7 linked regions of the Macaca mulatta genome follow. The protein of the gene in region 5 interacts with the protein of the main gene of each other region in a pairwise test. Links are inferred from orthologs where the notes say so. Each region holds a gene or a part of one and is shown on either strand. Other genes may lie near its edges.

The links.
Region 1: the proteins of KRT40 (region 5) and CCDC120 interact in binary tests that used the Homo sapiens proteins (3 or more experiments, as listed by UniProt). The link is inferred for Macaca mulatta from reciprocal best matches to the Homo sapiens genes KRT40 and CCDC120.
Region 2: the proteins of KRT40 (region 5) and JOSD1 interact in binary tests that used the Homo sapiens proteins (3 or more experiments, as listed by UniProt). The two-hybrid records come from large-scale screens. The link is inferred for Macaca mulatta from reciprocal best matches to the Homo sapiens genes KRT40 and JOSD1.
Region 3: the proteins of KRT40 (region 5) and CYCS interact in binary tests that used the Homo sapiens proteins (3 or more experiments, as listed by UniProt). The two-hybrid records come from large-scale screens. The link is inferred for Macaca mulatta from reciprocal best matches to the Homo sapiens genes KRT40 and CYCS.
Region 4: the proteins of KRT40 (region 5) and PIMREG interact in binary tests that used the Homo sapiens proteins (3 or more experiments, as listed by UniProt). The two-hybrid records come from large-scale screens. The link is inferred for Macaca mulatta from reciprocal best matches to the Homo sapiens genes KRT40 and PIMREG.
Region 6: the proteins of KRT40 (region 5) and DOCK2 interact in binary tests that used the Homo sapiens proteins (3 or more experiments, as listed by UniProt). The two-hybrid records come from large-scale screens. The link is inferred for Macaca mulatta from reciprocal best matches to the Homo sapiens genes KRT40 and DOCK2.
Region 7: the proteins of KRT40 (region 5) and ZBTB16 interact in binary tests that used the Homo sapiens proteins (3 or more experiments, as listed by UniProt). The two-hybrid records come from large-scale screens. The link is inferred for Macaca mulatta from reciprocal best matches to the Homo sapiens genes KRT40 and ZBTB16.

The regions. Positions count from the first base shown.
Region 1 is NC_133426.1:49,132,264-49,136,637, forward strand, and holds the start of CCDC120 (coiled-coil domain-containing protein 120), read left to right. Parts: upstream 1-1,422; 5' UTR 1,423-1,562; intron 1,563-4,374. UniProt on the Homo sapiens protein: Centriolar protein required for centriole subdistal appendage assembly and microtubule anchoring in interphase cells. Together with CCDC68, cooperate with subdistal appendage components ODF2, NIN and CEP170 for hierarchical subdistal appendage assembly.
Region 2 is NC_133415.1:12,822,124-12,826,289, reverse strand, and holds the start of JOSD1 (josephin-1), read right to left. Parts: upstream 2,925-4,166; 5' UTR 2,784-2,924; exon of another isoform or gene 2,599-2,783; 5' UTR 1,964-2,598; coding exon 1,779-1,963; exon of another isoform or gene 1,194-1,778; intron 790-1,193; exon of another isoform or gene 1-789.
Region 3 is NC_133408.1:103,267,994-103,272,187, reverse strand, and holds CYCS (cytochrome c), read right to left. Parts: upstream 2,830-4,194; 5' UTR 2,567-2,829; intron 1,697-2,566; 5' UTR 1,689-1,696; coding exon 1,520-1,688; intron 1,415-1,519; coding exon 1,266-1,414; 3' UTR 398-1,265; downstream 1-397. UniProt on the Homo sapiens protein: Electron carrier protein. The oxidized form of the cytochrome c heme group can accept an electron from the heme group of the cytochrome c1 subunit of cytochrome reductase.
Region 4 is NC_133421.1:7,925,228-7,929,398, reverse strand, and holds the start of PIMREG (protein PIMREG), read right to left. Parts: upstream 2,825-4,171; 5' UTR 2,741-2,824; intron 2,166-2,740; 5' UTR 2,131-2,165; coding exon 1,837-2,130; intron 1-1,836. UniProt on the Homo sapiens protein: During mitosis, may play a role in the control of metaphase-to-anaphase transition.
Region 5 is NC_133421.1:65,365,426-65,369,683, forward strand, and holds the start of KRT40 (keratin, type I cytoskeletal 40), read right to left. Parts: upstream 2,946-4,258; 5' UTR 1,922-2,945; coding exon 1,475-1,921; intron 778-1,474; coding exon 695-777; intron 92-694; coding exon 1-91. UniProt on the Homo sapiens protein: May play a role in late hair differentiation.
Region 6 is NC_133411.1:178,525,893-178,530,033, forward strand, and holds the start of DOCK2 (dedicator of cytokinesis protein 2), read left to right. Parts: upstream 1-1,278; 5' UTR 1,279-1,339; coding exon 1,340-1,382; intron 1,383-4,141. UniProt on the Homo sapiens protein: Involved in cytoskeletal rearrangements required for lymphocyte migration in response of chemokines. Activates RAC1 and RAC2, but not CDC42, by functioning as a guanine nucleotide exchange factor (GEF), which exchanges bound GDP for free GTP.
Region 7 is NC_133419.1:114,997,009-115,000,717, reverse strand, and holds the end of ZBTB16 (zinc finger and BTB domain-containing protein 16), read right to left. Parts: intron 3,496-3,709; coding exon 3,328-3,495; intron 681-3,327; coding exon 451-680; 3' UTR 382-450; downstream 1-381. UniProt on the Homo sapiens protein: Acts as a transcriptional repressor. Transcriptional repression may be mediated through recruitment of histone deacetylases to target promoters. May play a role in myeloid maturation and in the development and/or maintenance of other differentiated tissues.

The sequences.
Region 1 (4,374 bases), on a different chromosome or scaffold from region 5:
AGGTACAGTTGAGGACTGTTGGAGAGTGGTTTAAGGTGCAGTTTGGGTCAGTGGAGTGTGGGTTAGAGGTGTAGAGGGTGCTGGAGGGTGGCTTGAAATGCAGTTGAAAGACCACAGAGGCCGGGCGCGGTGGCTCAAGCCTGTAATCCCAGCACTTTGGGAGGCCGAGACGGGTGGATCACGAGGTCAGGAGATCGAGACCATCCTGGCTAACACGGTGAAACCCCGTCTCTACTAAAAATACAAGAAAATTAGCCGGGCGAGGTGGCGGCGCCTGTAGTCCCAGCTACTCGGGAGGCTGAGGCAGGAGAATGGCGTGAACCCGGGAGGCGGAGCTTGCAGTGAGCCGAGATCGCGCCACTGCACTCCAGCCTGGGCGACAGAGCGAGACTCCGTCTCAAAAAAAAAAAAAAAAAAAAAAAAGACCACAGAAAGTGTAGTTGGGTTACATGGCACAGTGATAGGGGCTGTTGGAAGGTAATTTTGTGGGGATATGAGGGGAGGTCAATGAAAGGTGGCTGGCTCAGAGGGGTCCATGGAACATGGTTTGGAGGTAATGTGGGTGACTGTTGGAATTATTTTGTGGTGCAGGTGAGGCCCACGTTCAGGGTAATTAGGAATGTTTGGACTGGTGTTGGGGTCTCCTGGAGAGCCATTTTGAGTCAATGGAATATGGCTTGGAGGGTTCATGGAGAGGGGTTTGGGGTCAATGGAGGGTGTTACGGGTGCGCATTGGAAGTAGATAGCAGGTGATTTGGACATTATGTTTGGAGGGTAATGGTTTCAGGGCTGATTGCAGATGGTTTGGTGGAGCAAACTGGGGGTAGTGTAAGGTAGTTTACTGCTACAGCTTGGGTGTCCATAGAGGGTGGACTGGAGGTACCGCTTGGAATCAACAGACAGTAGTTTGGGGATATAATTTGGAGGATAATGGAGGTTGGTTTGGAGTGCATTTGAGGGACAATAGGGAGGGTAGCTGGGGTTTAGAGGTGTGGGGATAACTTACAGAGAGCAGCTTGGAGTACTGCTTGCGGGTCCCTAGGGGACGACTTGGGGTGAGGGGCGCCAGTAGGCTCCCTGAGGGGGCGTGGCCTCGGCGAGGGAGGGCTCCACCGCCCTCGAGAAAGAGTGTGCGCACGCGCTCCCAGCTTGTTCGCTCCTGGCGCTCCCGGAGCAAGAAAAATCCAAGACCCGAGCCGGCGCCTGCGCACTTCGTCTCCGCCGCTGCTGTGGTCTCGCGCCCCGCCCCCTGGTCCCCCCACCCCCTAGGCTCGGCTGAGCGGCGGAGGTGGCCGTGCCGCTGGAAGCCGACAGACCCGAGTTAGAGGTGGGGGCGGGGGTCCGTCGCCCGCGGCCGGGCCGGCACTCCCCTCCCACCCTCCCCGCGACCCCCGTTTGGTCCCCACGGCTAACGGTCGCGCAGCCAAACACGGCCCACGGGCAGGGCGCGGAAGGGGAGCAGACGCGCGCCCGGGGACGAGCAGGGCGCAGTGAGGGAGGGGCGCGCCCACTACCCTGGCCGGCCGACACCGACCCCGCCTACCGCTGCGCTGGGACCCTTGGTGAGTAACCAGCCCCGCCTGCGGAGGAAGGGAGGGGACAGGGTGGGGTGAAGGCCTGGAAACGCCGACGGGGCGTACCTGCGCGCGCACCCGCGACCTCTGACCCCGTGGCCTCAGCCCTGACCCCTTCCGACCTGACTACATCTTTTTTAAACCTCAACCCCTGTTGGCCTTGGCCTCAGTACCTTACGTCAGAGCCCTGACCTAACCATATTCTGGCCTGGTATGATCCTCAACCCCTGTTTTGTTCCCCCTAAATCCAGTCCTGACCCTAGACCCCATTCAGTTCTGTCCTGGGGATCTTTGACCTGACCCTGATCTTTGCCCGACCCCGTCTCATCTCTGAAACATCTTGCCCTATCCTAATGCCCAACACTGACCCCGGTTTCTGTCCTGACCCTTGACTTGTCTGTTCCCTAAACTCTTATCCAGTCTCTGAACCTCTACCAGTCATGTCCTGTCCCCCTAACCCCAATCTGGTCTAGTTCTGTCCTGATTCCTGCCCTCTAACTTCTGTCCTTTCTCTGCACCCTATATGATATCCTCTCCTATATATTCGTGATCTGCATCCTGGCTCACCACCTTTAAATACCCCCCGTCTCCTGCCTTGTCCCTGCCCCTGACTCTGTCCTGTTTTTCCCTCTTTTCTATCACCATACTCATTCCTATCCTCATTGTGTCCTGGTCTTTTCCTGTTCCTGACCTCCATCCTGAACCTGCCCTTTTCCCTGTCCCCTCATTTGACCACTGGCTTAGCCTTTCCTAGTCATGTCTGCCCTGCTGTTTTGTCTCTTTCTTGTACTTTTTCTCTGACCCTTGTCCTGAACCCTACCTTATCCCATCCCCTGGCCAGTGTCCTGGCTCATTCCCCATCCTGCCTCTTGACCTCCATCCTGCAATAACACTGGTTCTATCTTGTCCCCTACGCTCCTTCTTGTTCTGTCCCTTCCCATCCCAGCCCCAGGCTGTTCTCCCCCTTACCATGCCCCTCCACCCTGTTCAGATCTTCTTCTTTCCTAATATCCACTTGCCATCCCTTCTGAGCCCAGGACAGGGGTCCCATTATACTGTGCCCGGAACTTGAAGATTCTGCTGTTACCAGGACCTCTGAAGTACGTCCCAAATGCTTCTCTTAGCAAGAGCAAGCAGCCCTATGCACCCTGCGTGGCTGATGGGGGTTTTTGTGTGTGATCTCCCCTACCCCCACCCTAGTGATCTCACATAGAGCTTACATTTCTCTTCCTGCCCCAGGAGGGCATGCAACTGTTCTACGCTGCTGCCCTCTGCAAGTGTGAAAGAATACCCTAAATTATTCAGTGACTCTCTGGGAGTCTGAGAGGTCTGGGTCATGTTTCCAGCCTTGCTGTGTTGGGGACTGCCTCACGTTGTGGGGAAGAGTTGAGAAAATATGAAGAGATGGGGGATGCTGGGGTATGTATGAATCTTCTAGGCCATGTTACCCCTATTCCCTGGTCTTGATTCTGGGTGCATGATCCCTGTTTTCCTGGCCTGAAAGAGAAGAAGTCTATTCTAGGCCAAGGCTTCAGGACTTGGTATAGAGGAGGGATGGGGTCAAGGATTCATCCTCCTCCTCTCAGCAGTAAGCAATAAAAATCTTGGTGCTAAGTCCACCCCACCTCTGTGGGGCTTGTCTGTGGGAGAGAAGGCCAGGCAGTCACTGGATGTAAGAATCAGGCCTGTCCAGTAGTAACAGTAACAACAATAATGCAGGGTTCCCCTCATTGTCCGAATCTCCTTGATTCTGAGGGTGATGGGGAGAACTTGGATGGCTAGAGGGTAATGTGTTACTCAATTAGGTTTCGTTCCTGCATTTCTCACAGAGACTAGTGAGTTTGAATAACAAGATGCCAGACCTATCTTATTTATCCTGAATATCTATCCAAACCTATTGATAACAACACAAGCATTCCTCACTGTCCCAATCTATTTGGTACCTGAATTCTGAGAGGGAGAGCGCCCGAAGTTCAGACAGTGAAACCTACCAAGTTATCTGAAGGTATTTTGTTTTCACATCTTACATAGTGAGTGGGGAAAATTGAGATAATGAAGAATAATGACTTTAACTCAAAAATATATCCAAATCTATGAACTTTCCTGAGCTCCAGGGACAAGAGTTGGGATAGTGAGGGTACCCTGTTATGTAAAGGTTCCTGCATTTTGCCTGGAGAGTAACGAAAGTTCAAGAATGAGGGATACCAGTCGTATCTCAAAAATGTTTCTAAATCCATTCAGTTCTTGCATTTGTATGGTGAGAGTTCAGACAGTTTCTCTGAATGTATTTGGTTCCTGCATTTTTTATGTTGAGAAAGGACAGGTTGAATCATGAGGGAAAACAGCTCTGTTTCAAATATGTCTCATTTGGTGAGCAGGAAGGGTACCGTGTCTAGTTAGCAAGTAGGATTTGGAAGCTGAGGGATACTAGTTCTGTCTCAAAAATGGATCTGAGGCTGGGGGCAGTGGCTCACGCCTGTAATCCCAGCACTTTGGGAGGCTGAGGCTGGTGGATCACAAGGTCAGGAGTTCGAGCCTAGCCTGGCCAAGATGGTGAAACCCCACCTCTACTAAAAATACAAAAATTAGCCGGGTGTGGTGGCAGGCTCCTGTAATCCCAGCTACACGCGAGGCTACAGCAGGGAACTGCTTGAACCCGGGAGATGGAGGTTGCAGTGAGCCGAGATCATGCCATTACACTCCAGCCTGACAGGGCGAGACTCCGTCTCAAAAAAAAAAAAAAAATTGCGTTTGAATACATTTAGTCTCTGATTTTGGATAGCAAGAGTTCAGACAAGTT
Region 2 (4,166 bases), on a different chromosome or scaffold from region 5:
TTGTCTGTACATATCACAAAGTACTAAGCACATTCAGGTATTTCACCCTGAGTCCTTTCTTCTCCCTAGTTTTAGATCAGGAAATAATTTACAAATCTGATTAGGAGTAGGAGAAATACTAACGGCTGGCCAAAAGGAAGCAGTCCAATGTACTGGGTTCTCCTTTCAGTGACATGACCTGATGATCTGAGACAAATTATCTTACCTCCCAGTGCCCCAGGTCCTGAAGAGTCAATTCTACTTGCTGCCAGATAATGGCCATGATGCAAATAACATATTTACCCTGGTAAGGCATTACTCTGGTTACTACTGGCATTGGAAAATAATTACTCTCATTATAGTTTTGTCTGCATCTGGGGATTAACATTCTTCTAAGAGTAAGCCTCTGGCTCTTTCAGGACAAATGGTCCATACCTGTGTTTTACAAATCACCCCAAATAGGTTGCTACCAGCTGTAATTCTGGTCCCTATGTGGCAATAATTTCATTTCCAAGCTAAGAGAGTAAGAAAAAGGTCTTCTGGAATTGTCAATATGTACTGCTTGAAGAACGCTTGAGCTCCTCTTCAGTGAGGACTGTGTGGGCCTAACCCTTTCTAGTTGGGGTCATCAGGCAAGATCACCATCTGAGTTGCTATGGACTGCAGATATGCTGTTGTGTCCATCAAGACACCACAGAACTGACTCTCAAAACCTTTAAAGTAATTCTAGAAAATCAAAGCAAAGAGAAAAAAGCTGAGTTTTTTTTTTTTTTTTTTTTTTCTGAGACCTGTCACCCAGGCTGGAGTGCAGTGGCACAATCTCGGCTAACTGCAACCTCCACTTCCCGAGTTCACACGATTCTCCTGCCTCAGCCTCCCGACTAGCTGGGACAAGTGTGCACCACCACACCCGACTTAATTTTTGTATTTTTAGTAGAGACGAGGTTTCACCATGTTGGCCAGGCTGGTCTCAAACTCCTGAACTCAGGTGATCCGCCCTCCTCAGCCTCCTAAAGTGCTGGGATTATACCGTGCTTGGCCAAAAGCTGAACCTCTACTAACCCGTGGGGTGGCATTTGTTCTAAATGGATAAGAAAGGCCATCTAGAATAAAGGAGAAAGAGGCGATCTGGAGTCAACTTCAAATTATAACTTTGCTATTTAGAAGCTATTTGGACATATTACCTGACCTTTCTATCAGTAAAATACAGGCAGTGAAATGACTGTTAGGAGGGCTACACAAAGCAATGTACGAACAGCGCCACTGCCAGCACATGGCTCACAGAAAAGCTGAGCATTGTGTATACCTCTTGCTTGTGGTAGTCACCACATTCCACCTTTGATGACAGGCGACTGAACGTGTACGTATCGGGTCCCACTTCTAGACTGTAAACTCCTCGGCAGCAGAACTTTAGAGGCATTTAGCATAGTGGTCAACAGCATAGATGTAAGAATTCAACCCCAGCTCCAAGTCTTGTTACCTTGAGCAAAGTACGGAACTAAATGTGTCTTCATCAGTAAAATGGAAATAACACCACGTATTAACACGTATTCCATGGGATTGTTGAGCAGATCACTCGAGAAAACACAGCCGAGAATATGAGCACTTTCCTAGCCCACAGTGAGTGCCCGATACATAGTAGTGATTATCTTTTCCTGTCTTGTGTCCCTGATACCTGCTAATGACATCTAGCTAATACCTATAGATTTAAAGGTTTATGAAACTTGAGACATTATCCCACCCACAGAAATCCAAAAATATCAGTAAGTATCAAGATGCCAAGGAGAAGGGTCCCCTACCTCTGGAAAATCTCTTGCAGCGTATCCCGGGTGAAGGCATTGCTGTCCTGGAAGACGTTATTGAGGGCGTGGAGGGCACAAAGCTCCCTGCGCTGTTTCTCATGGTAGATTTGTGGGGGTGCTGCCTGGGGCAGCTCCAATGATTCAGATTTGGCCTTGTCTCCTTTCCATGGCACACAACTCATGTTTTTTGTTTTAGGTTCCAGAGATGGCTATAAACACCCTACTCTTCCCTCCAGAAGAAGAATGTAACCTTCTCAGTCTTTTCCGGGTTCCTGAGGTTCACCTTATTCTCTGGTGTCCATGATTTATGCTTTGTCACTGGGAGAAAAGACTGGAATCAAAAGGAAAAAAAAAACCCACCTCTTTTCTCTTCTCAAGAGAAAAATAACTTTTGGATTACTTTCATTTTGCTACCACTGTCAAATTGCAGAATTAAAAAAAAAAAAAAAAAACCCATAAAATGTAAGACCTTGTTTCCGTTTCCCCACCCTTCCCTCCCACCCCCCTCAAAACTCCCCACGATTTTCTTGCTGTTTCCCTCTGCAAATGCCAGGCCTCAAAGCAGGAGGACCGAACAGCATCGGTCACATCGCTCCTTTTCTTCCATTTCTTTCGAACCACGACGCCACTGACTCGGGAGACAAGGCCTGGGTGGCGGATAACGCGCACGAGTCGAGCAGCTAGCGCGGGCCGGCAGGCGTGGGACCGCGAGCCGCGCGGGGGCCTCGGGGGCAGCCCTCCATCCCCTTGGGTACGGTGGGGCCCGCAGGGCGCGGCTCCCTCGGAAGGCGCGGACTCTCGCCCTCTGGCCGCGGCCCTGCGGAGGAAGAGACAACTCCGGTCAGCGGCGAGCGGGCGCGGGAAGTGCGCGGCGGGGCCGGCCCCTGCCCGAGGGAAGGTTCCTTCCGCGCGGCGACGGGTTGGCCCGCAAGGGGTGGGGCCGGACAGTCAGCCTCGCGCTCCTGAGCCCGGACCCACCCGGTTCGCCGCCCCTACACCAACCTCCCCACCCGTCACGTGAGCGCAGGCCCAGACGCCCTCCCGCCGCGCCCCTGGCTGCAGACCCCAACGCCGTCGGGACCGCTCAACGCCAGCCGTCCCCTCACCGACAACGGCCGCCACCTGGAGTGCGGGCCGCCAACTGGGCCGCGCGGGCGGGCGCGCGCACCTGAGCCCGACGTCACCGGCCCCCGCCCGACGCGTGCTCCGGAAACGCCCTCTGGCGCCGTCCTCGCTCCTCCCAGCCGTGGCGTCACGCCTAGCGTAGGTGTGACGTCATCGGCACCGGCCTGGGAGCCGGGGACGCCGGGCGTGTACGGGCCAAGTTGAACGGTTGGGGTGTGGCGGAGCAGTGGGTGTGGGGCTGCGGGCTGCGGAGCTCGGCGGCGGCCGGCAGGATTGGGGTCCAGCCGCTCGGCTCTGCGCTGTCCCTGGCGGGGCGGGGTGGGGCGGCCTGAGGGAGTCCTGCAGGCCAGCGGCTGCCGTCCGCGGCTTTCCGCACCCCTCCCCTCTCTGGGCCAGGCTTCTCGGCCGAGCGTTCTCGCTCCTTCTGCGTTGACTGTTTTCTGTGTGGCTAACGCGCGGCTCACCAGGGGGGATTTTGGAGCACCTGATTCGGTCGGGCGCAAATTGCCTTGGTTAGTGGGCCCGACCGTGCCGCACTGTCCAGGGAGCGCCAAGGGTAGGTGCCTCGCTTTGAGTCACATTTCAAGTGGAAAGGAGACTCCTGTTGCAGTTCCGTGGTGTCGCATTTCAGTTCACTACACACAAGCCACTGCCCTCTTGCCTGGGGGCTCCCCGCTCTTCTCACGGTGGCTTTCCTCTCTGCAGAGACCTCTGCGCGAAGTATACCTAAGCGCATTGTGTGCGTCGTCGGGAAACGGCGAACTACTCGCAGTCCCACGTGGATTTCATTTTTTTCCCTTTACCTACTCTTAGGGTGCGTGGTAGGCATCAGTATCCACCTTAGCTGCCCTCCTTTGGGGTTTTTCGTAAAACTGGAAAAACGAGAAGAAATTGCACTTTAAATTTAGTTTGTTTTTGTTTTTGTTTTTGTTTGCGACGGAGTTTCATTCTTATAGCCCAGGCTGAATTGCAATAGGGCGATCTCAGCTTACTGCAACCTCCACCTCCTGGGCTCAAGCGATTCTCCTGTCTCGGCCACCCGGGTAGCTGGGATTGCAGGCCCCTGCCACTTACCCAAGGCTAATTTTTGTAGTTTTAGTAGAGATGGGGTTTCACCATGTTGGCCAGGCTGGTCTCGAACTCTTGAGATCCAACCGTCTCGGCCTCCCAAAGTGCTGGGATTACAAGTGTGAGCCACCGCGCCTGGCCTAAATATTTATTTTTGAGACAGGGTCTTGCTCTGTTTCCCAGGCTGGAGTG
Region 3 (4,194 bases), on a different chromosome or scaffold from region 5:
TCTCAGCTCGCCAGCACAGATTTATTTTCTCATCATTCTTTATGTCTTACCTTGTGCTCACCATCTCCATAAAATCTCCAAGGACTATTCTAAATGTGTATGGCACAGACTACGCATGAAATAATTCAGTATGTAATTACACTGTTACACATCAGAAAACTATGACCAGAAGCATTTGTCTGTCCATGTCTGGCATAAATGCTGCAGTTCTCAATCTGGGCAAAGAAACTAAGAGTCAATTAGTGAAGTGTTATTCTAGTTCAGGCAGTCCTAGAAAACCAAGTAAACAATCTAGCACCATGACTGGTTAATGCTGCTGCACTGATATTTAGGGCTCCTGCACTTTTTAATCATTAAAGTTTCTGCATCAGTCATGAAATCAAGCACAGTCAAAAAATCATGATCTGTGGTTTTCTTTTTAATTATCTTTAGTCTTGCGATCACACATTTTAAAATTTGTGTATATCTCCGCTACTTTAATCCTTTTAAGTTGGCAAAAGCACCATTCCCAATCACAAATACACAGTTCTACAGTTTTATGTTTCTGAATGGCTGTTTAAAGACAATCCTAAATTATAACTTAGTTTGACTTAGATTGTAAAGAATTCAAGAGTGAAGTTTAACTTGCTACTATTTTAAAAGCATGTGACCTTATAGATTTGTAAGATGTGAGAAGTGTTGAATAATCTTTAATATTACACATAAACCATACTAAAATGCTCTTCAATAAGTAAAAGGAACCATTTTAAATACAGGGAATTATAATTAGATTGGCATCGTTAAGGCCAAAACTCTAGACATTGCTACCTTATTTATCTTCAACCCTTGCCTTTAAGAGGCAAATGAACACAAAACACAGGTGAATCTTGCTTAGTTCTGAGACAGTGAAGGAATTTCCCCAGTATTTAAATATATTCACATAACCAGCTATATAAATCTAAATATAAAACCAATCTCCAGTAAGTTTTAAGATGGCACTCACCATCTTTGCGAAAAGTTGAACATTACTAACAAAGTCTAATCATATCTTTAGAAGGGGTAAACAGTGATAGCATTTACTGAATTGGAATTACTATTAAAATTCAAAAACGGAACATATTCATTTAACCACAAGCCAGTCTTAGTTTTAAATCAGGACTGCCCAACAAAATATTCTGTCAGTCATTCATGATCTGAATTCTGGTGTATGAGATCTATTAAAGTATGGTACACATAAAAAAGTCATGAGACATTTGTTTTGTAATAAATAAGGCAGTGGCCAATTATTACTCATTAGTAGCTTTTTTGAGATAAGCTATCAAGTCTGCCCTTTCTTCCTTCTTCTTAATGCCGACAAAGATCATTTTTGTTCCAGGGATGTACTTCTTGGGATTCTCCAAATACTCCATCAGTGTATCCTCTCCCCAGGTGATGCCTAAACAAGAAAGAATGCATCGGTTAAGTATTTCACACTCCTCATAGTGTGTCACAGGTGATATTCGTGCGTTTTGTACTGTTTTATTTAACAAGTGGCTCTTACCTTTGTTCTTATTGGCGGCTGTGTAAGAGTATCCAGGGGCCTGACCTGTCTTCCGCCCGAAGAGACCATGGAGATTTGGCCCAGTCTTGTGCTTGCCTCCCTTTTCAACGGTGTGGCACTGGGAACACTTCATAATAAAAATCTTCTTGCCTTTCTCAACATCACCCATATTTAATTCTAAAAACGAAAGCCCCAACTTAGTAATTTTTCCTCAGGTAACAAATACAGTGTAAATGAATGACCACTCTAGCCACTTAATTACCAATCCATTGGTAATTTATGTCATTAAATACCAGAATTAATCTTGTATTGCTTTAATACTCTTTATACCAAATACTCTTTAATACCAAAAACATTTTTTAGGAGCACCTCCTCAAAAACCTATTTTCGTGTGTACACGTGAAGGAACGTTAAAGCCCAAGCAAGCAAAGAGGGAACCTAATTCAAACTCCAGTTTCAGAAGAGAAAATCATGGTCACTAAGCCACAGATCTGACGCTGAAGGGCGATCACATTAAGCCAAAATCACCACAATTTCAATTTTTAAGAAGGCCTAGTCATTTAATCTTACTACCATGTAAAGCTACCTCTTCCTGAGGATATTGCAAAGCACACAAATATTTAAAAAGCGGTACTGGCTGTTTCTACCTGCCCAGGTCACAGAAGTAGCCTGACACTCGAACTTGTAAATGGGAACGCAGGGGCAGGCTGCACGGTCCCCGCAGGACATCCCCACTCTCCTACCTGTGATCCCCCGGGGCGAACATGAGGTCACCCATCCAGGTCGGTTTCAAGGTGACTGATGAAACTGTTTCTAGGATGTCAGAACGACTGACGGAAGAAACGTGCCCACGTAAAGAAATGGCCCCTTATTAGAAGAGCAACAGCTTTTGCCCTCTGAAGGAGAACGTGAAGTGCTAAGCTTCGGCTTTCCGGGTGGGAAGTCTTGCCTATCATTTCCATAGCCCCTCAGCAACCACTACGAAAGGGGCCGCGTCTTCCTCGGATCTGTATCTAAGCCTCCTCTAGTCCCTGACTGAGACCATACCTGTCCCTAGTTAGGGCCGCCGCACCTCAAGCGGTTACTCGCCCGGTTCGGTCTGACCACAGTCCCGGGTCCTCACTCCCGGCCCTCCCACGCAGCGCGGGCTCCACTCGGAGGCTCCACGCCTGGGTCTCGGTCGCTCGCGAGTGCGCGCCGCCCACAGCTCTGCCTCTAACCAGGTGCGGCTTCCGCGACCCGCTCTCACCTGTTTTTAGTCGCTGGCGCAACGAATATTCCCGCTCCAAAGCAGGACGTCCCCACTCTCTAAGTCCAAGGACACGCCGGTTCGCGCTTAAGTACCGGTGTAAGTGCAACCAAACTCGCTCCGCGCTCCCGCGCCCTGACGTGCGGCCGAGCTGGCGGCTACGCAGTAACGTCGCCGCACCTCATTGGCTCTAGTCCCAATGCCTGCGCAAAGGACCTGCGCGCGCATGCAGGCGAGCATGTTAGGGTGTGCGGCGTGCGTGCCCTTCCTCTCGAGGCCTTTCTTGCCCGGCCGTTACGACAGGCCTTTGGTCGTACGACAACGAGGTGGTGTCGGGAGGGGTGATGTCACCCGCGGGCCTCTGTGCGCTTGCGTGTGCTGGAGGAACGGGGAGGGTGGGGCGGAGTCGCCTTGTTGGCGCGTTGCCCTGCTAAAGTATCAGTTCTTGGGCGTGGTGATGTAATGATCTTTGAGCAGGGCGTTCTGCCCGTCCAGGAAAAGACGCCTTAGTTTTGGCGCACCTAGAGGTCTCCTAGCTACCATCTTGTCAGCTGGCGACCTTTACCCAGACTCTGTCCTGCTCCCTTGGCTGGCGCCAGCAGCATCCTAGAGGGACAGCCTGGAACCAGGAGTTACACGAGTTGGGCAGCAGCTCGTGACCTTGTTCTAGTTCCACCTCTACTCCGTTACTTTCAGTCATCTTCCAGCTCTCCGCTTGATGGACGCCCCAAGACTGAGGAACGTGCTGCATTTGCGGCAGAACAGGATTATCCCTCTGACCCCTTACCTGTCAGCGTCTTTTCTGCTAACGCCCTCCTCCCCCTCGCGTTCGTGTGCCGAAAGAACACAGAATGTGTGCTGGCAACATCTAGGAAGAAACATTTTTAGATGATTAGAGAATTATTGGAAATCTAGAGGATTTGCATCCCTTCTTACCTAGGTAAAGGTCATGTTCAAGTAAACTTAATGCAGTTAAGATCATATTGGAAATAAAGGCGTTAATACCCAGCTTTTAGTTATCATAGCCATCCTTTAAAACTAGATCCCCTTCCTGACATGCCTAGTTCTGTCACTGGTTTTCTTGACTCCTTTACCCCTCAAATTCTGGTCCCAAGTTCTGATTAATTTTTCCATCTTTCTTGTTTTTTTTGTTTGTTTGTTTGTTTTTTCTTCTCTCTCCTTGTATTCTGTCTGGCACTGCCGTATTAAGTCAGGTGTTTATTGGCCGGGCGAGGTGGTTCACGCCTGTAATCCCAGCACTTTGGGAGGCCGAGGCGGGTGTATCACTGAGGTCAGGGGTTCGAGACCCGCCTGACCAACATGACGAAACCCCGTGTCTACTAAAAATACAAAAATTAGCCGTGCGTTGTGGCGCGCGCCTATAATTCCAGCTACTCAGGAGGCTGAGACAGGAGAATCGCTTGAA
Region 4 (4,171 bases), about 57 Mb from region 5:
CTGAGGCATGAGAATCACTTGAACCCGGGAGGTGGAGGTTGCAGTGAGCCGAGATCGTGCCACTGAACTCCAGCCTGGGCGACTGAGTGAGACCCTGTCTCGCAAACAAACAAGCAACAACAAAAAACCCAAGGGTAAACTACCCTGGTCTCCAGACCCTACCAGCGATCCCTAGACCCACCAAGTGTCCTGTAAATACAGGCTGTTTTAGTCTCCAGGGTGAAGGATGTGACTGACTCCTCGTAGAATGAGTCCACGGCAGGGACCCAGCTCAGAGCTCCTGGATATGACAGCAGCAGTCAGCAGCAGGAGGATCCCCCTGGTGCCTGGAGCCTGTTTGTCTAAGTCCAAACTCTCTTTCCAGACACAGATTGACCCCAGGACTGAAGGAGAGGGCCCAGAGTAGAGCAGGCTCCCCCGCCCAGCACCCCCTGCACACCAGGAGAGCGCCTGTCTTCCTGCCTCGGGTCTCACTCACTCTATCCACCCTCTACAGTGGTCCATAGTGATCCTTCTAAAGGGCAGTTCTGACTGTGACACTCAACTGCTCGAAACCCTTCTATGGCTTCTTGTTGCACATAGGACCAAGCCCCAACTCCTGGGCCTTTCACACCAGCTGGGTGACGGCTGTGAAGGCTCTTCTTCATCAGCTCGACTGTCTTTGCCTTGGCAAGCCAGAGCCCAGGGGTTGGAGCCCAGCCCAGGTTAAATCTGATGAGTTACGTGACCTTGGACAAATTCATTTCATTTCTCTGATCCCTGAGGGTGGCGAAAACAATCAAAAAGTTCTTCCAAATAAAGACTAACATTTGGCTCAGAGAACTCTCTGCAGAGGGTCCAGAAAGAGCCACTCTCTTTCTGGAGAATTCTCTCGTCTTCAGAATTCCCAATGAGACACCGAGGAGAAACCTCTGCAGCCCCCAGTCCTCTCTCTGGAGGTCTGTTCATCCTAATGGCTTCTGTCCTTTCTAAGTGACACGTCTACACCTCCAGCTCTGGGTTTAAAGATGCATCGGTTGAAGGGCCCATAGACGCTTACATCCAATATAAGGACATCTTCCTGCCAGCACCTCTCATTTGACAGCAAATCCCCTCTAACTGACCTTCTCAGCAGCTCCTGAAGTTTATCCTCTGCAAGTCCAGATCCTTAGTCTCCTTCAGGAGCACCTCTGCTTCTATTCCGTTCTCCATCACGTAGATAAAGGACAAATTCTAATATGCTAATGAGACCAGACTTTCCACTGTTTAGAATCCTCCAGACTCCTGATCATTCCTGGGAGAGTCTAAGCTCCTTCATGTCCTTTCTCCCGGCTCTACCTTGCTCTCTGTCCTCTGCTCATACCCAGACTACAATTCTGGCTCTCCTCAGGGGTACACGGCTGAGTTGGCAGTACACCTTGCTTTCCCTCAGCTCTAGGCTTGGACCTGAGGGGCTCTGGACTTGCACTATTTCTCCTACCCTAAATACCCCTTGACCTTTGCTTCCCTGGGTGAACTCTGGAATCATCTCCTCTGGGAAGCCTTCACCGGCTAAGTTTGTGTTTGGCGAGCCCTCGCTATTGGCCACTTGCTTGCAATTTCCTATCACGTACAGCTCTTATCACCTGGTATTGTGAGCATCTGTTTCCTCCAAGACATGTTTTCACTAACTCATTCAACTATTTGTTGAGTGCCTATATGTGCCAGGAACTATTTGGGGTGCGGGGGAAACAGCAGTGAACTAACCAAAATCCCTGTCTTCTTGGAGTCTATATTCTTGAGACTCTTTGAGGGCAGGAACTGTCTGGCACCAAGGAAACACTCCATAAAAAAGATGATTAGTATTGTCACTATTACCTGGGACATGGCACCCAAAGCGCTCTTAGCTGAGCGAGCTGCAGCCTGGAGGCCCTGCTGACCTGGCTCTGGGGTTTCCAGGCGTTTCCAGGAGGGGCCTGTGCAGAGGTTGAGGTTGACGGCTCTCAGGGGCAGCCTCCTTTGGAACTGCCTGCACAGAGACCCCAGGGCCCCTGCAGAGGTCTCCTGATGGCTGGCCACAGGCTGCAGCTCCTTGCTGTCCTCCAGCTGCTCCTGGTGCCGGAGAGATCTCCGGCGCACAGAGGTCCCCATGCTCTGCCACCGAGAAGCCATTTGTCTGGCCAAGAGTCTTCTCTGTCCACTAGACCCTGGGGAGGAGGGCAAAAAAGCAGGTCAGCAAGGCATTCCCCATCCCCATTTCCAGGCCCCACAGAGACCCTGGACACAGGGGAAGAGATGGGATGCAGCGGGGTGGCGAGGGCGAGCGGGGAGCGGGCGAGTTGGCAAGTGTGGGTGCGGGAAGGAGGATGCTTCCTGGAAGAGAGGTCTCGGGTCAGCAGCATTTCTGCTGTCCCGCACTTCAAGTTTCCAAAACAGCTGTCTTTTCATCCCAACCTCCTTCCTCTCTCTGGCTCAGGCGTGGAGGGGAGGCGGGGTCAAGACACGCCGTAGCCGAGCTTCAGCGCTGGGCCCAGGACACGATCACCATCTCCTTCACCAGCTCGCCCAGACCAAACGCGCCCCCACGCAGATCCCGGCCTTCCCACCAGACGCCCTGATTTTGATCCGACGCTTGTAGTACCCAGACGCCTCCACAGGCCGTGCGTGTCCGAACCCAATGCCCTCCCCTCTGAACAAAAAAAATTGTTTTGAGCCGAGATCGCGCCATTGCACCCAGCCTGGGGAACAAGAACGAAATTTGTTGTGCCCCGCCCGCACTCACCCGACAGCACCAACGCGGATCACACGCCCAGCACAGCTGCTCCTCGCCCACCACAGCCGGTTTGAAACTCTGCGCGGCTCCGCCCCAGGCCCCGTCCTCACAGCTGATTGGTTCTGTCCCCGCCCCCGTCCCCGCCCCAGGGATCCGATTGGCTTTCTCTGTCGCAGCTGTAAATGCTGCGCTCGGATTGGCCCGGCCGTCCCCATTCATCTCTCCGGCCCCCTCCCTGCCGCCAGCCTCGTGGCTCCGGGCTTTGTGTTATGCGTCCCGCCCGGGCCACCGCCCTTGCCCGCCCAGCCCCCGCGCATCGCACGCCGGGTCCCCTCCCTGGAGCGCGCACGGGGTTGAGGCTGCTCTGATCCATGGGGTGGAGGCGGAGGTCCTGGGATCTAGGCCTCCTGGCTCAGGCCTCAGGCCTCAGACCCCGCAGTGGGCAGGGACCCTGTCCATCCTGCCAAGGGGTCTGGCTTTTCTTTCTTGCTCAGTGGTTTTGTCCGAAGGAGCCAGGGCCTGGCAGTGCGGAGCCCTGGGTTCCCAGAGACGTTTCCTTTCAAATTTCCCTCCTGACCCTCCCTTCCTGTGACAAGACACTGTCCCTCTCTGAGTTCCCCATACTCGCCATCCATGCTCCGCGCCCCCCTCCCAGAAGATGCGTCCTGGAAGCGGGGATAGACCAGAGTACTCGTCTGCCCTCCTCCCGCCTACACCAGCTCCCCGTCCCCGCCTTGCCCCACGCATCCCTCCCTCTCTCAGCGGAATGCCTGCCTCTCCTCTCCTTAGCATCCAAACACAATCAGCCATTATAGAAGTTCATCCTTCTCCTTTCGGTGACCTCAGAGCTGTGCTGCCCAGTCCCCTGGCTGGTTTCTTTGTTTCCTCTCCGGCACAAGAGCCTGAGATGCTGACTTCTTGAAAGACTGTCTTCAGCCCTCTTCGTTTCTGGGCGGTCTCACCCACTCCTTTGGCCTCAGTGATTTCCAACGAAAGGATGATGATAATGATTAACGTGTATATGGCCCTTAGTATGCACAGGTACTGGTGTTGCAGTTTATTAACTGATTTGACCCTCTGCTGTGGTTTGAATGTGTCCCTCAAATTTCACATGTTGGAAATGTAATGCCCAAATTCGTATATTGGTGGCATTTGTTTGTTTGTTTTTGAGACAGAATTTCGCTCTTGTTGCCCACGTTGGAGTGCAGCCTGACGATCTCGGCTCACTGCAACCTCCGCCTCCCGGGTTCAAGCGATTCTCCCACCTCAGACTCCCGAGTAGCTGGGATTACAGGCGCCCGCCACCACGCCCAGCTAATTTTTTGTATTTTTAGTAGAGATGGGGTTTCACTATGTTGGCCAAACTGGTCTCGAACTCCTGACCTTAGGCAATCCACCAGCCTCAGCCTTCCAAAGTTCTGGGATTACAGGCAAGAGCCA
Region 5 (4,258 bases):
AGATTTGCACAGGGTCAGCTCATCCAGGATCCCATGCAGGCCACTGATGTCTGCCTCTAATAGCTGGCGAAAGGACAGTTCACTCTCGTACCTTTCACGGCAAAAGAGAAATCCAATGCTTACTTTGCTGAACGCTGTGCAAAGTGTGGGGATACGTGGAGGATCGACACATGGACTTCAGGAAGCCACATGCATAATTTCTCTTAATTCCTAAGTAATGATAAATTCAAGCTTTTAAAACATTCTTGACTTTAAAATATTATATAGAGAATATTTGTGGGTGGGTGTGTGTGTGAGAGAGAGAGAGATTAAGAGAGAGAGAGAGAGCGAGCCATAAATTATTTTCAAATTAAAATTAAGGCGGGGTGTGGTGGCTCATGCCTGTAATCCCAGCACTTTGGGAGGCCGAGGCAGGTGGATCACCTGAGGTCAGGAGTTCAAGACCAGCCTGATCCACATGGTGAAACCCCATCTCTACTGAAAATACAAAAATTAGCTGGGTGCGGGTGGCGGCGCACGCCTGCCTGTAATCCCGGCTACTCAGGAGGCTGAGGCAGGAGAATCGCTTGAACCCAGGAAGCAGAGGTTGCAGTGAGCCGAGATAGTGCCATTGCACTCTAGCCTGGGCGACAAGAGTGAAACTCCTCAAAATAAGTAAATTAAATTAAATTAAATTAAATTAAATTAAACTTACTTTGACTTAAAGTCATCAGTGGCCAGTTTGCAGTTGTCAAGCTGTACAGCAAGTCTAGAATTCTCTGCTTTCGTGCATAAGATCTGGGAAGCAAGCCATTATGTGACAAATGATTCTTTGAGAGAAACCTAAATAAACTTCTATCCAACAGCTATGCCATTAGTTATCTTTTGAAAGTCTTTATAAGAAAGTATAAAATCACCCTCAGCCTGCTTTTCTTATTGACCTTGTCGCTTCATGAAGAAAAAAGCAGTGCCAATTTAGAAGCAAAATAGAGAAATAAAAAGGTTTAGTTTTTTAATAACATAAGACACTTTGCAACATCCCTAGGCAGTTGAACACCATTAACGTTTTCTCCATCAGTAGTTTGTATTATGACTCTATCCTCTCCCATAATAATAGAAATTCATCAAGGAGACAAGCAAATGATTACTAGGTGGTTAAAAAGATGGCATTTGACGATTTGTGTTCAGATAATATAAATGTTCAGTGTCAAATACAAAAGCGATTTTGGATGTAATACAGTTTTTCTGCATTCTATAGATGATGAAGGAAAAGCCTAAGGGCGAGTTACTTTATTATAGTCACTCAGTTATCAGGGGTAGTTCTGGCGCTGGTGCTGAGGTTTTCTGACTTTCAGTCCAGTGGTCTCCCCTATGTACCATTAATCCTGGAATTCCCCTTTCCCTTGGTTGCCTTCTGGAAAACCGTCCCTCTGGTAGAAAGATAAAGCAAGTCATAGATCCGGAAGGTGGAGCACTAGGGCAACAGGACACACACCTTTTGTTGGAGATCTTCAATGGTGTTGAAGTAACACTGATAATCCGGGCACACCATTGGGATATCCTGTTCACATTGTTCTTGGATCCTGGATTCCAGCTCTGCGTTGGTCTCCTCCAGGCTGCGCACCTTCTCCAGATAGTTGGCAAGTCTGTCATTCAGGAACTGCATCGTCTCCTTCTCATTGCTAGTGAACACCCCATCCTCACACCAGGCACAGTTCCCCACCAAGCAGGGACTGTTACAACTCCCAGTAAAGTAGCATGGCAGGAGGCAACCGGTCAGCCCGCGAGACCTGGATAGGAAGCTTGGAGTCTGACATCGGGATGTAGCACAGGCACCGGGGAGACAAGCTGTTTCTATGCAACAGCTTGAGGCAGGTGCACAACCGGAGGCCGTGGTACAGGATTCAGGAGAGCAGTGTGTGGAGGAACAGTCAGAAGTCATCCTTCCAGAAGCAAAGACAGAGGCTGGCTGCAAAACTTCAGTTGCCTTGACTCCAAAACTCTCCTTCCCTCCTGAGAGTTTTATAACGCCCCAAAATGGGTGTTTACAGACTGCACCGGATGTTTTCTTTATCACTGATGGTGCCAGTTTTCATACAAACATCTCATTAGAGTTGTTTATTTACTGAGGAAGAGTTTTATGCCTCATAAAAGAGGGATAACTTTAGGTTACCGAAGCAGGACCTACACCATTTCCATGTGCCAGACAAAACACTTATTTCAGAAAATTGTCATAGGAAACATTGTCCTTTTGACAGAATAAGAAAAGAAAGAGAAAATTTGGCCAATCAATAATTATAGATACAACTCATTACAAATCAGGAAAATAACATGTCCACAGATTTTGATTCTGTGCATTGATTGCTTGGGTCCCCTTTTAAAATTAGTATTACAGCTCATAAAATGACATTTATTTGTTTGTGCCACACCATAAAAATGGTCAGTGTGATTAGCAATCTTTCAATGCTTTTTGTGTTCTCAGAGTATGTGCTGACAAGACTGGAGGAGTGAGCTATATATTAGACTTAATGTGTGTGTGTGTGTTTGTGTGTGTGTATACAAACATGTCTACCTGCGTACAAATGGAAAAGTCACTTTACGTAACTGATAGGAATAACTTGTTTTTCTGCAGGCTAAAATATAAATTGGTTAGAGCTGGAATTATGATCTTTGATTTTCTGAAACTTGCCTTCTCCCCATTTCTCATTTCTTGTTATTAGATAAGTTATACTATTTTACGTGTATTTCTAATGAGAGTGAAATATAAATTGTAAGTTATAACCTTTTAGTCCCTTGGGAATTCCTCAATGATTATACTTCAGAGTAGGGACAAGGAACCCACAGGAGTCTTTTCTTCTGAGATGTACAGCCTGTTTTCTCCTATTTATTTATTTATGAAGGCCTGAATTTCATGAAAATTAATAATGCTGGAACTTGCAAAATAAAATTTTATTTAGGTTCCAAATCAGTGATTCCACTGGATGAAATCTCTGGTGCCAAATCTGACAGATAGGAACTTGAGATGTGTAACTTTTTTGGATTCTGTCTTGGATTTCAGCTCCATTATGAAGCATAATCTGTTTCACTTTGCTTGGTTTTAGTCGTTATGTTTATTTCATTTTCAAAGGTGCATAGAGAAAATTGCCTGTAGAATTTTTGAGAACATTATAGGAAAAGAAAACACAGTAATCTGAAAAAGTTAAAAATTTTTTGATCCAGAATAAACTTATTTTTTCCCCTAATCCTGAGGGCTACTTCCTGGGTAGCTGATAATAGAAACCAAACCAGAAGAACATATGTAAGTGAGTTAAAATAGTCTCTGAGGATTTATTACTCCCTGGGCAGAGTTAGGTTTGAATTTAGTGATTCTCTTTACACATCAACACTTATGCAAAAAGTTCTTAGAGTGTCTCATGGTATATTGACGCTGCTCTGCAACAAATATGAGTTCAAGGATTCAAAAACACTTCTGAAAAATTACAAATCTCTGAAAGAAAATTATCTTTTCACAGTAACCTAATGAGTCAAAAGAAAAGTATCTTTGAAGAAAACCCACGTTTTGGTTGTCCATCACAGGTTCCAGTTAGCTAAAGCGCAGTCATGTAACTGCAGGTAAAATAAGAAATATTTCCTTTTGTCTGGAACTAATTTCTAATTGTAAAGTATTGGTTACTAGTTAGTGTCCTGCAGGGTAGGACTATTTGTTTTGTTCTTGATTAATTAGGTAGTGTTGTATAATAATGATCTATAGCTATAGTCTCCATCGTAGAATATGGAAATCACCCAGAATTCATTTCTGTGGAGTCCTCCTTAGGGAAGAGAAGTCAGGCTGGCAGGACCAGAGGAAAGCAAAAAAATAAAAATAAAAAATAAAAAATAAAAAAAAGAAAGAAAGCAGATACGCTATAAGATTCATCTTCTTCATCATGGTCCAGGACACATAACCCTCCTGCACAATATTTCTGCACCCAGCTATCACCAGACTTTCAGCTGATAGAAAAATGCAACTTAGCTCACTGCAACCTTTGTGTTATCAGTACTGCACAAACCCTCTTCAGCACACAGCACAAGCACCATGCTGTAAAATCTCCAGCACACCTTTTCCTCCTTGCAGACAGCCCCTTCTCTGCTGTGCTGCCCATTGCTTCCTTGCAACGTATTTTCATACTTTCTCTAATAAATCTGCCTTTCTTTACCTACAACTATGTTGATAAATTCTTTTTACCCCCATGCCGCCAGCCCCAGATAGTCGCTAATCACCCGTGACAATTTCTGTGGT
Region 6 (4,141 bases), on a different chromosome or scaffold from region 5:
GAACCCTAATGCCACTGCTGTCTGTACAAGACATTATTACCTAACTTACGCTGCTAGAAAACAGAAAATAACTGCAGGTAAAACGAAATAATTTTTTGTCACTCCAGTTCAGCTGTGATACTGCCTATGTATCTTAATGACTCTCAGTGTAAGGCAGAAAGGGGTAATGAGAGTCATGAATAAAGAAAGAAAACTCAGCAAAACTTAAATTCAGCCTTATCACTGTGGATCAGACATGATTTTTTTTCTGGACAGAATCTGTTCCCAGAGCAAAAAATGAGATTTTTCGAGGAAATGTCTCCATTAGCCTAACTCTAGGGCTCTTTTCCTGGGGCCCACCGTTGCTGGCTGTGACAGCACCCTTCACCTTGCAGTGATGTTGGTAAATAGTGTATTTACGTATTTTCAGAATAAAACTTCTAGAGCTTACACCAGATTTTCCAACGGGTTTGTGGCACCAAAACGATAAAAAGCTGTAAATGGGTCAGGCGCGGTGGCTCATGCCTGTAATCCCAGCACTTTGGGAGTCTGAGGCTGGCAGATCACCTGAGGTCGGGAGTTCGAGACCAGCCTGACCAACATGGAGAAACCCCATTTCTACTGAAAATGCAAAGTTAGCCGGGCGTGGTGGTGCAACCCTGTAATCCCAGCTACTCGGGAGGCTGAGGAGTCACTCGAACTCGGGAGGCGGAGGTCGCGGTGAGCCGGGATCGTGTTTGCACTCCAGACTGGGCAGCAAGAGAGAAACTCCATCTCAAAAAAAAAAAAAAAAAAAAAAAAGGCGGCTGTAAACGATCCACCTCCATGTCACCTGCTGTGTACATTGCCTCTGTAACCCTTAGAATAATCATATGAAGTAGGTACTAGTATCCCATTTCACAGATGAGAAAACTGAAGCTTAGAAAAATGAATTCATTTGTCCCCGTCTGGATTCGAACCCAGATCTGACACCAAAGCTCACGCTGAGGGGACTTAAGGAAATGGTTTGTTCAGTCCCCTAGGCACGGCAATCAGAAAACTCTCTGCACTTGCGGTGGCGGTCTGGGGAGCCCCAGGTGGGGACTGGCCTCTGCCCCCCTCGCCTGGGGAGGAGACAAGGTGGGAGTGGTCCCCAAGCTTTGCGTGAAGTGGGGTGGGGTGGCGTATCCCAGCCTACGGGGCACCAGCCTTCTAGTGTGCCCCTGCCCAACGGGAGGGAGGAGGGAGCGGGGAGCCCCGGGGAGGGAGGAGAGGGCGGGCCCTGAGAGGAGTTTGAAAAGAGGAAGGAAGTGGGGCCCTGCGGCGCCCAGCTACCCCCTGCCGGCTTCCCCACGGGAGGAGGCGAGGCCCCGGCTCAGTCATGGCCCCCTGGCGTAAAGCTGACAAGGAGCGGCACGGCGTGGGTAGGTGCGGGCTCCAGGGCGCGGCAGGGAGCGGGACAGGTGGCGGGAGAGGCGCGAGCAGGAGGATGCTGCGGGGCTGACCGCGCGGGGTGGGCAGGGCGCGCCGCCTGCAGGTCAGAGGGCGTAGCCTGCCGCGGGGCCCCGGGGCGGAAAAGCCGAGGCTCGGGGAGAGGACGGCGGGACCCCACCCCGCGCGCTAAGCACAGCCCTCGCCCTCTCGCCTGCCGAGGGAACCTGAGGCATTTCCGAGATAGGGTCAAGACTTGAGCTTGACGACTCAGCTCTTCTCGCCAGACTCATCGTCCCCAGGAGTGCCCCAACTCGCCGCATGGGAGACTTGGCCTTATAGAGGGAGCTCCACTCTCCTCAGGCTCAGCCTTGGCCTGCCCACCATGCATACTTCCACCCCCTCCAAAGCGACACCCATCTGCCTGCTTCCCCTGTCTGTTCCTTCTGGGTCAGGTGACTCCCGATTTGGCAGGGCATCCAGAGGGCAGCTCAAGCTTGGGGGATGGGGCTGGACGGTGGGGTTCTCTACTCAGCCCCTAAGAGCCTCTGGGGAAAAAGGCTCCCGTCAGGTGGTCTGAGGGTAACCCAGAAGCTAGCTTTGTCAGCCTCAGCCATCTAAACTCCCAGAGGCCTCTGCCTGGAGCTCAGGGGCGGAAGTGGTGGCTGGGGGAAGGGAGGCCTCAGGTGCTACTACTCTCTCTGAGTGGCATCTGTGGTGCAATCTTCATGGACTCACTGTGGTTTTCAAACTTCAATATCAATTAAAAAGTCACTCTGGAGCTTCCTACACAGGCAGATACCAGACACCATCTCAGAAACAAAGATTTAGCAGGTGAGGCATTGGAAGACCCAAGCGCCCAGAGGGATTCGATGCAGGGGGTCCCCAGGCCGCTGTTCGGGAAACACTGCCCTGGAGAGATCAGTAGTTATCCACTCAATTACTGGGCACCGGGCATGGGGTGGGGGGCATTTTGATATGAATGGTTCCCATCCAGAGAACACATAATAATTCTTATCCTCAACGGGCAGTTACAAAGTAAGGAAGGATACAGCTTCTGCCCTTGAGGAGTTATGTGGAAGGCTAGAGGCTTAGACTGGGAAGTCAGAACTGAGTTGAAATCAGGGTCTGTTTCCTCATCTATAAAGTGGGAATGTTAATAATAATGCAGGTTTCATGAGACTCTTGTAAGGATTGAATGGGGTTATGCATGGAAAGCATTTAGTAGTGTGCTGGCTCAATGAGAATTAGAGATTGAGGTCAAGGGGCTTACCTAGCAGCTTCAGAACCAAGAGACACCAGCACCAAGATGCACCCTAATGCCAGATTCAGGACAGTCATGCCTTATGAGACTGTAGTGTTTCATGGTTTGCAAGACCAAATGTCATGCAGTCTGTGTCTGACTTCAGAACCCGCATGTGAGGCAGTGTATTATTCCCACTTTACAGATGCAGTAACCAAGTTAACATCACTTGGAAGCAATGAAGCTGGGCCTTAAATTCAATTGTCTTCAGACCCTAGGTCATGGCACCAGAAAAGCATCTAGAAGGGAAACATCATGGGTAAAGGCAGGGAGCTGGCATCCCTGCAGTGTGTGGGTCAAACAATAAATATTCTGCTTTGGTTTTAGTATTGCTTTTAGTGTTAAAAAAATTGCAGAGGTAGATTATGGCTAGATTGTGAAGGGCTCTGAGTGCCAAGCTTCGAAGTTTGGATTTCCTTCTGTGAGCACTGGAGGTTTTGAGCAGTGTCATCTGGAAGAAGTTAAATAGTTAATTAGGACAGGAGTGGGGATTGGACTTAGAATAGAAGGAAAATGGGTAACAGTTTTACCTGTCTACTTTCTGCCTGGTTAATCTAGCAGGAGGTCACTTATAATCAACATTTCCTGTTAACTTTTACTAGGTTAATCCACTCTGCCTGAGGCTCTTGTCAGTGAAGAGAGCTTTCTCCTTTCAGGAGAGAGGAAAGGGTAGAAAAGGAGGAGGTAGAAAGAGAAACTAACAGTATCAGTTAGGGTTAAGTGTGACTAAGGGTGACAGTAAACTTGCAAAATTGTGGCCTAACTAAACTGCAAGTTTATTTATGTCTTGCATAGAAAGCTCAGAAATGGTCTGTGAAGAGGTGGTAAGGTGGCTCATTCTGTATCTCACACTGTATCTATCCTTGGCATGTGACTTCTGCCTTCTGAGCCACACAAGCTGCTTAAGCTTCGGTTATCAGGTCCACCTTCCAGCCAGCAAAAAGGATGCAGGAAAAAGAAGGTCATGACTTTTCCGTTTAAAGACATTTACCTGAAGGCACACTTGACATTTCTTCTTACCTCCTATTGGCTAAAATGTAATCACATGACTGACTATAGCTGCAAGGGAAGCTAGAAAATGTAGTCTGTAATGTAGGCAGCCATGTACCCAGCTAAAAATTAGGAGTTCTCTTCATAACTAAGGAGAGGAGGAAGAATATTGAGGATGATGTATTAGTTTGCTAGGACTGCCATAGCAAAATACCACAGACTGGGTGGTTTAAACAACAGAAATGTATTTTCTCACAGTTCTCGAGGCTGGAAGTCCAAGATCAAAGTACCAGCAGTGTTGGCTTGTCTTGTGGCCTGTCTCCATGGTTTGCAGATGGCTGTCTTGCTGCCTCTTCATTGCTTTCTGTGCAGGCACACCCTTGCTGCTTCTTCCTCCTGTCATGAGGACACCAGTCATATTGGATTAGCATCCCACCCTAAAGGACTCATTTTAACTTA
Region 7 (3,709 bases), on a different chromosome or scaffold from region 5:
GGGGAGCACCCTTCTGGCTCCCCTCCTCCCTGCCTTCATCTTCTGGAGGTCTTGCGGGAGCAAGGCCGGCAGAGACTGTGTGGCTCTGATCAGAGGACCTCTCACCTGCTTTCTAGCCTCCATTTCTGGACACATAAAGGAAGATCTGGGTGAAGGCAGGAGAAAAATGTGCCACCATTTGAGTGAACAAAATACCCCACCCCATCCCAGAAAATCAGGCAAACCTCCAGCCGGGAGAGGAGGGTGGAGGCCCCCAGAGGAGGGGCAGTGGCTTGGCATCCAGGTCATCTGGAGCCCAGAGAGAATCCAAGGCCAAAAAGCTATCAGGTTTCCTTTTCCTTCTCTTTTTTTTTTTTCTTTTCCTTTTTTATTTTTCATAGTCCTTCCTTCATCTCGATCCAACTCTTCTTTCCTGGCTCCCCGCTCGGCTCCACCGCCGCGGGCCTCCCTTCACACGTAGCACAGGTAGAGGTACGTCTTCTCTATCCTCCAGTCGGGCGGGATCTCCTCGGGCTTGTGGCCCTTCATGTGCTTCTGCATGGAGGAGAGGCTGGGGCAGTACTCTGTGCAGATGGTGCACTGGTAGGGCGAGGCGCCGTTGTGCGTTCTCAGGTGCTTGATCATGGCCGAGTAGTCCCGGGAGCGCTGGTGGCACAGCTTACACTCAAAGGGCTTCTCACCTGAGGGCAGAGGGACAGGGCAGGAGAAAGTGAGGACAGAGGGCGGTGAGGGCACCATGTCACCCTCAGGTGTGCCAGGGAAGCTGGGTTCCTCCTGCTGGGCTTGTTCCAACAGAACTTTCTGGGACAATGAAGGCACCACCCAAGACGGCAGCCACCAGTCACACATGGCTATGAACGAGGCTGGTGCGACTGGAGCTCTACAGTTTTCTGATTTTATTTCATTGTAACTAATTTAAATAGCTACATGTAGCTAGTTGACTACTGGATTGCCCAGTTCCTTGTCTTACTATTCTTAACTCTCCTAAGGCCACAGTCTTTTCCCTTTCTAATTAAGAAAATGAGTGTCTAGAAAGAGAAAGGCCCCACGGTCCTCAGGAATGGCTCTTCGAGCCGCAGTTCCATCCAGGGAGCAGGTGGATCGAGACCTTTCAGGGCTACAGATGGTGGGGAGCAGGGGTGGGGGAAAACTGAGGGAACCCAGTCCTTCAAATATGCCGCACCTGGGAACCTCTATCCAGCTAAAGCCTTTTTTTTTTTGAGATGGTGTCTCACTGTGTTGCCCAGGCTGGAATGCAGTGGTACGATCTCAGCTCACTGCAACCTCTGCCTCCTGGGTTCAAGTGATTCTCCTGCCTCAGCCTCCCAAGTAGCTGGGATCACAGGTGCTGCCACCATGCCTGGCTAATTTTTGTATTTTTAGTAGAGACAGGGTTTCACCATGTTGGCTAGGCTGGGCTTGAACTCCTGACTTCAAGTGATCTGCCTGCCTCGGCCTCCCAAAGTCCTGGGATTATAGGCATGAGCCACCGCACCCGGCCTATCCTGCTAAAACTGCTAAGACTTTGCCCTGGACCCTGCCTCCCTCCTGAGGCTAGAATTGGGGGTGGGGTGGGATGGGAAGGATAAAGAACCTGGGAGTACACAGCCACACCCTAGCCTTCTATACCCCAACTTTCCTTCCATAGAGTCCCCTAGAGCTGAGCAGAGGATGTGAGGGAACCTTGTTTCAATACAGTAATTAACTGGCCAGCCATCTCGCTATCAATACTCCTCCGTGCACAGGCCCCAGCAAATAATGAAGTAATGAACAGCCAAAGTGATCTAACCATCGACCAGCTATTTACAATAGTCACTGCCAATACAGTTAATGATCCACCTGCCAGGTCACATCCCCGACAAGGGGCTAAGGAAACCCCAGGGCTCTGGGAAATCCTCTGGGTCACTATAGGTGTCAGCAATGGACACCCAACCCTGTCCTTGGGGGCTCAAACTGGGGCACGAAAACTGAGCTCTGACAACACGTAGCTCTGCTTACTGCTCCTTCTGTCCACCCTTCCCCTCCAAAGGCAATGTACTCTCCTCTAAGCCAGCAGGACCTGCCTGAAGCCACCTCTCCCCCTTCCTCTGGACAGGACAGCTGTCCCCCCCGATCAGAGGGGTTTCTTTGTTTTCCATGTGCCACCACCTCTTACCCTTCTGTAAATCAGCCTTCCCCACAACCAGCAATGTGCTGGTGGTAAATGTTTAACAACTGGCTTTCTAAAAAGCCCTGGTTTGTAGCATCTGCTGATTGCTATGATGTGAATACTCCTACCAGGGCCAATTTTAAGCAACTAAGGTGATGTCGCTGAACTTGAAGTTGTGAAGAAATGTGAAAAATTAGCTTTCACAAGCAAGCTCCAATACTCCACTGCCCCCAACCTCGGACACTGTGGAAGACCCTTCACTTCTTTTGTCTTCTGACCTCAGGAAAAGCAGTGGCCCACATTTCTTTTTCCAATACAAACAATAATGTGGCCGGGCATGGTGGCTCATGCCTGTAATCCCAGCACTTTGGAGGCCGAGACGGGTGAATCACTTGAGGTCAGGAGTTCGAGACCAGATTGACCAACATGGCAAACCCGTCTCTGCTAAAAAAAAAATACAAAATTAGCCGGGCATGGTGGCACACGCCTGTAATCCCAGGTAATCGGGAGGCTGAGGCAGGAGAACTGCTTGAACCCAGGAGGCAGAGATTGCAGTGAGCTGAGATCATGCCACTGCACTCCAGCCTGGGCAACAAGAGCGAAACTCTGTCTAAAAAAAAAAAATGTGAAGGCACTCTGAAATGGTAAAACATCATATGCATATAGGGATTATTAAATATATCTGCTCTTCTAATCTCAGAACCAAACACAATCTAACTTTACAATTTCCCAACTTCCATCATAACCTGATTCAATGCATCCTAATTCTTACTGTAACCCTTGAGTAACATGAAATTCGCTTCATGTTAACTGGACCTAACCTTCGCTTCCAGCTAACTGGACCAACTTACCCCTAATTTAGGACTCATATACAGACATCATTTTGCATGTCACCTCTGAACTATTGGTATAACTGCCTGGAGAGCTGGTGGGGGCTCATTGGAAAGTGTGCTGGGATTGATTAGTAATGTCTGCCTTGGCCTTGACTGGTGGCCCTCAGGCCACCTTGACTGGGGTGTGGTGGCCCTCAGGTCATCATACCAGCCCTTAATAGAACCTCTTCTACTCTTTGATTCAGCCTGGGATCATCCTCACTTAGGCTTCTCCAGGAGACCATCTGCTTCCCACCTCCACCCAGGTCCCAGAGCCAGCTCAGACCCCTCCCTGGCCTTCAGTACCTGTGTGCACCCTATAGTGCGTCTCCAGCTGATGCTTGAGGCTGAACTTCTTGCCACAGCCATTGCACTCATAGGGTTTCTCACCCGTGTGGATGCGTTTGTGGCTCTTGAGTGTGCTCTCATCCCGGAAGCAGCTGCCACAGAACTCACACTCGTAGGGGTGGTCGCCTGTGGAGACAAGCGGCTGGATCAGGCATTTGCCTCTCCCTGCCCCCTCCTCAGGGTACAGTAGGGCACATTCAGTGCATGAGAAGGATGAGACGGCCTGTATTCACCACCTCCAAAGACAACTTAGGGATCCACGGCCACACCTCCATTGAATAAACAAGCAATACCTGTGTTCACACATGTCCACACTTTACTGTGGGCCCATGATCATCTG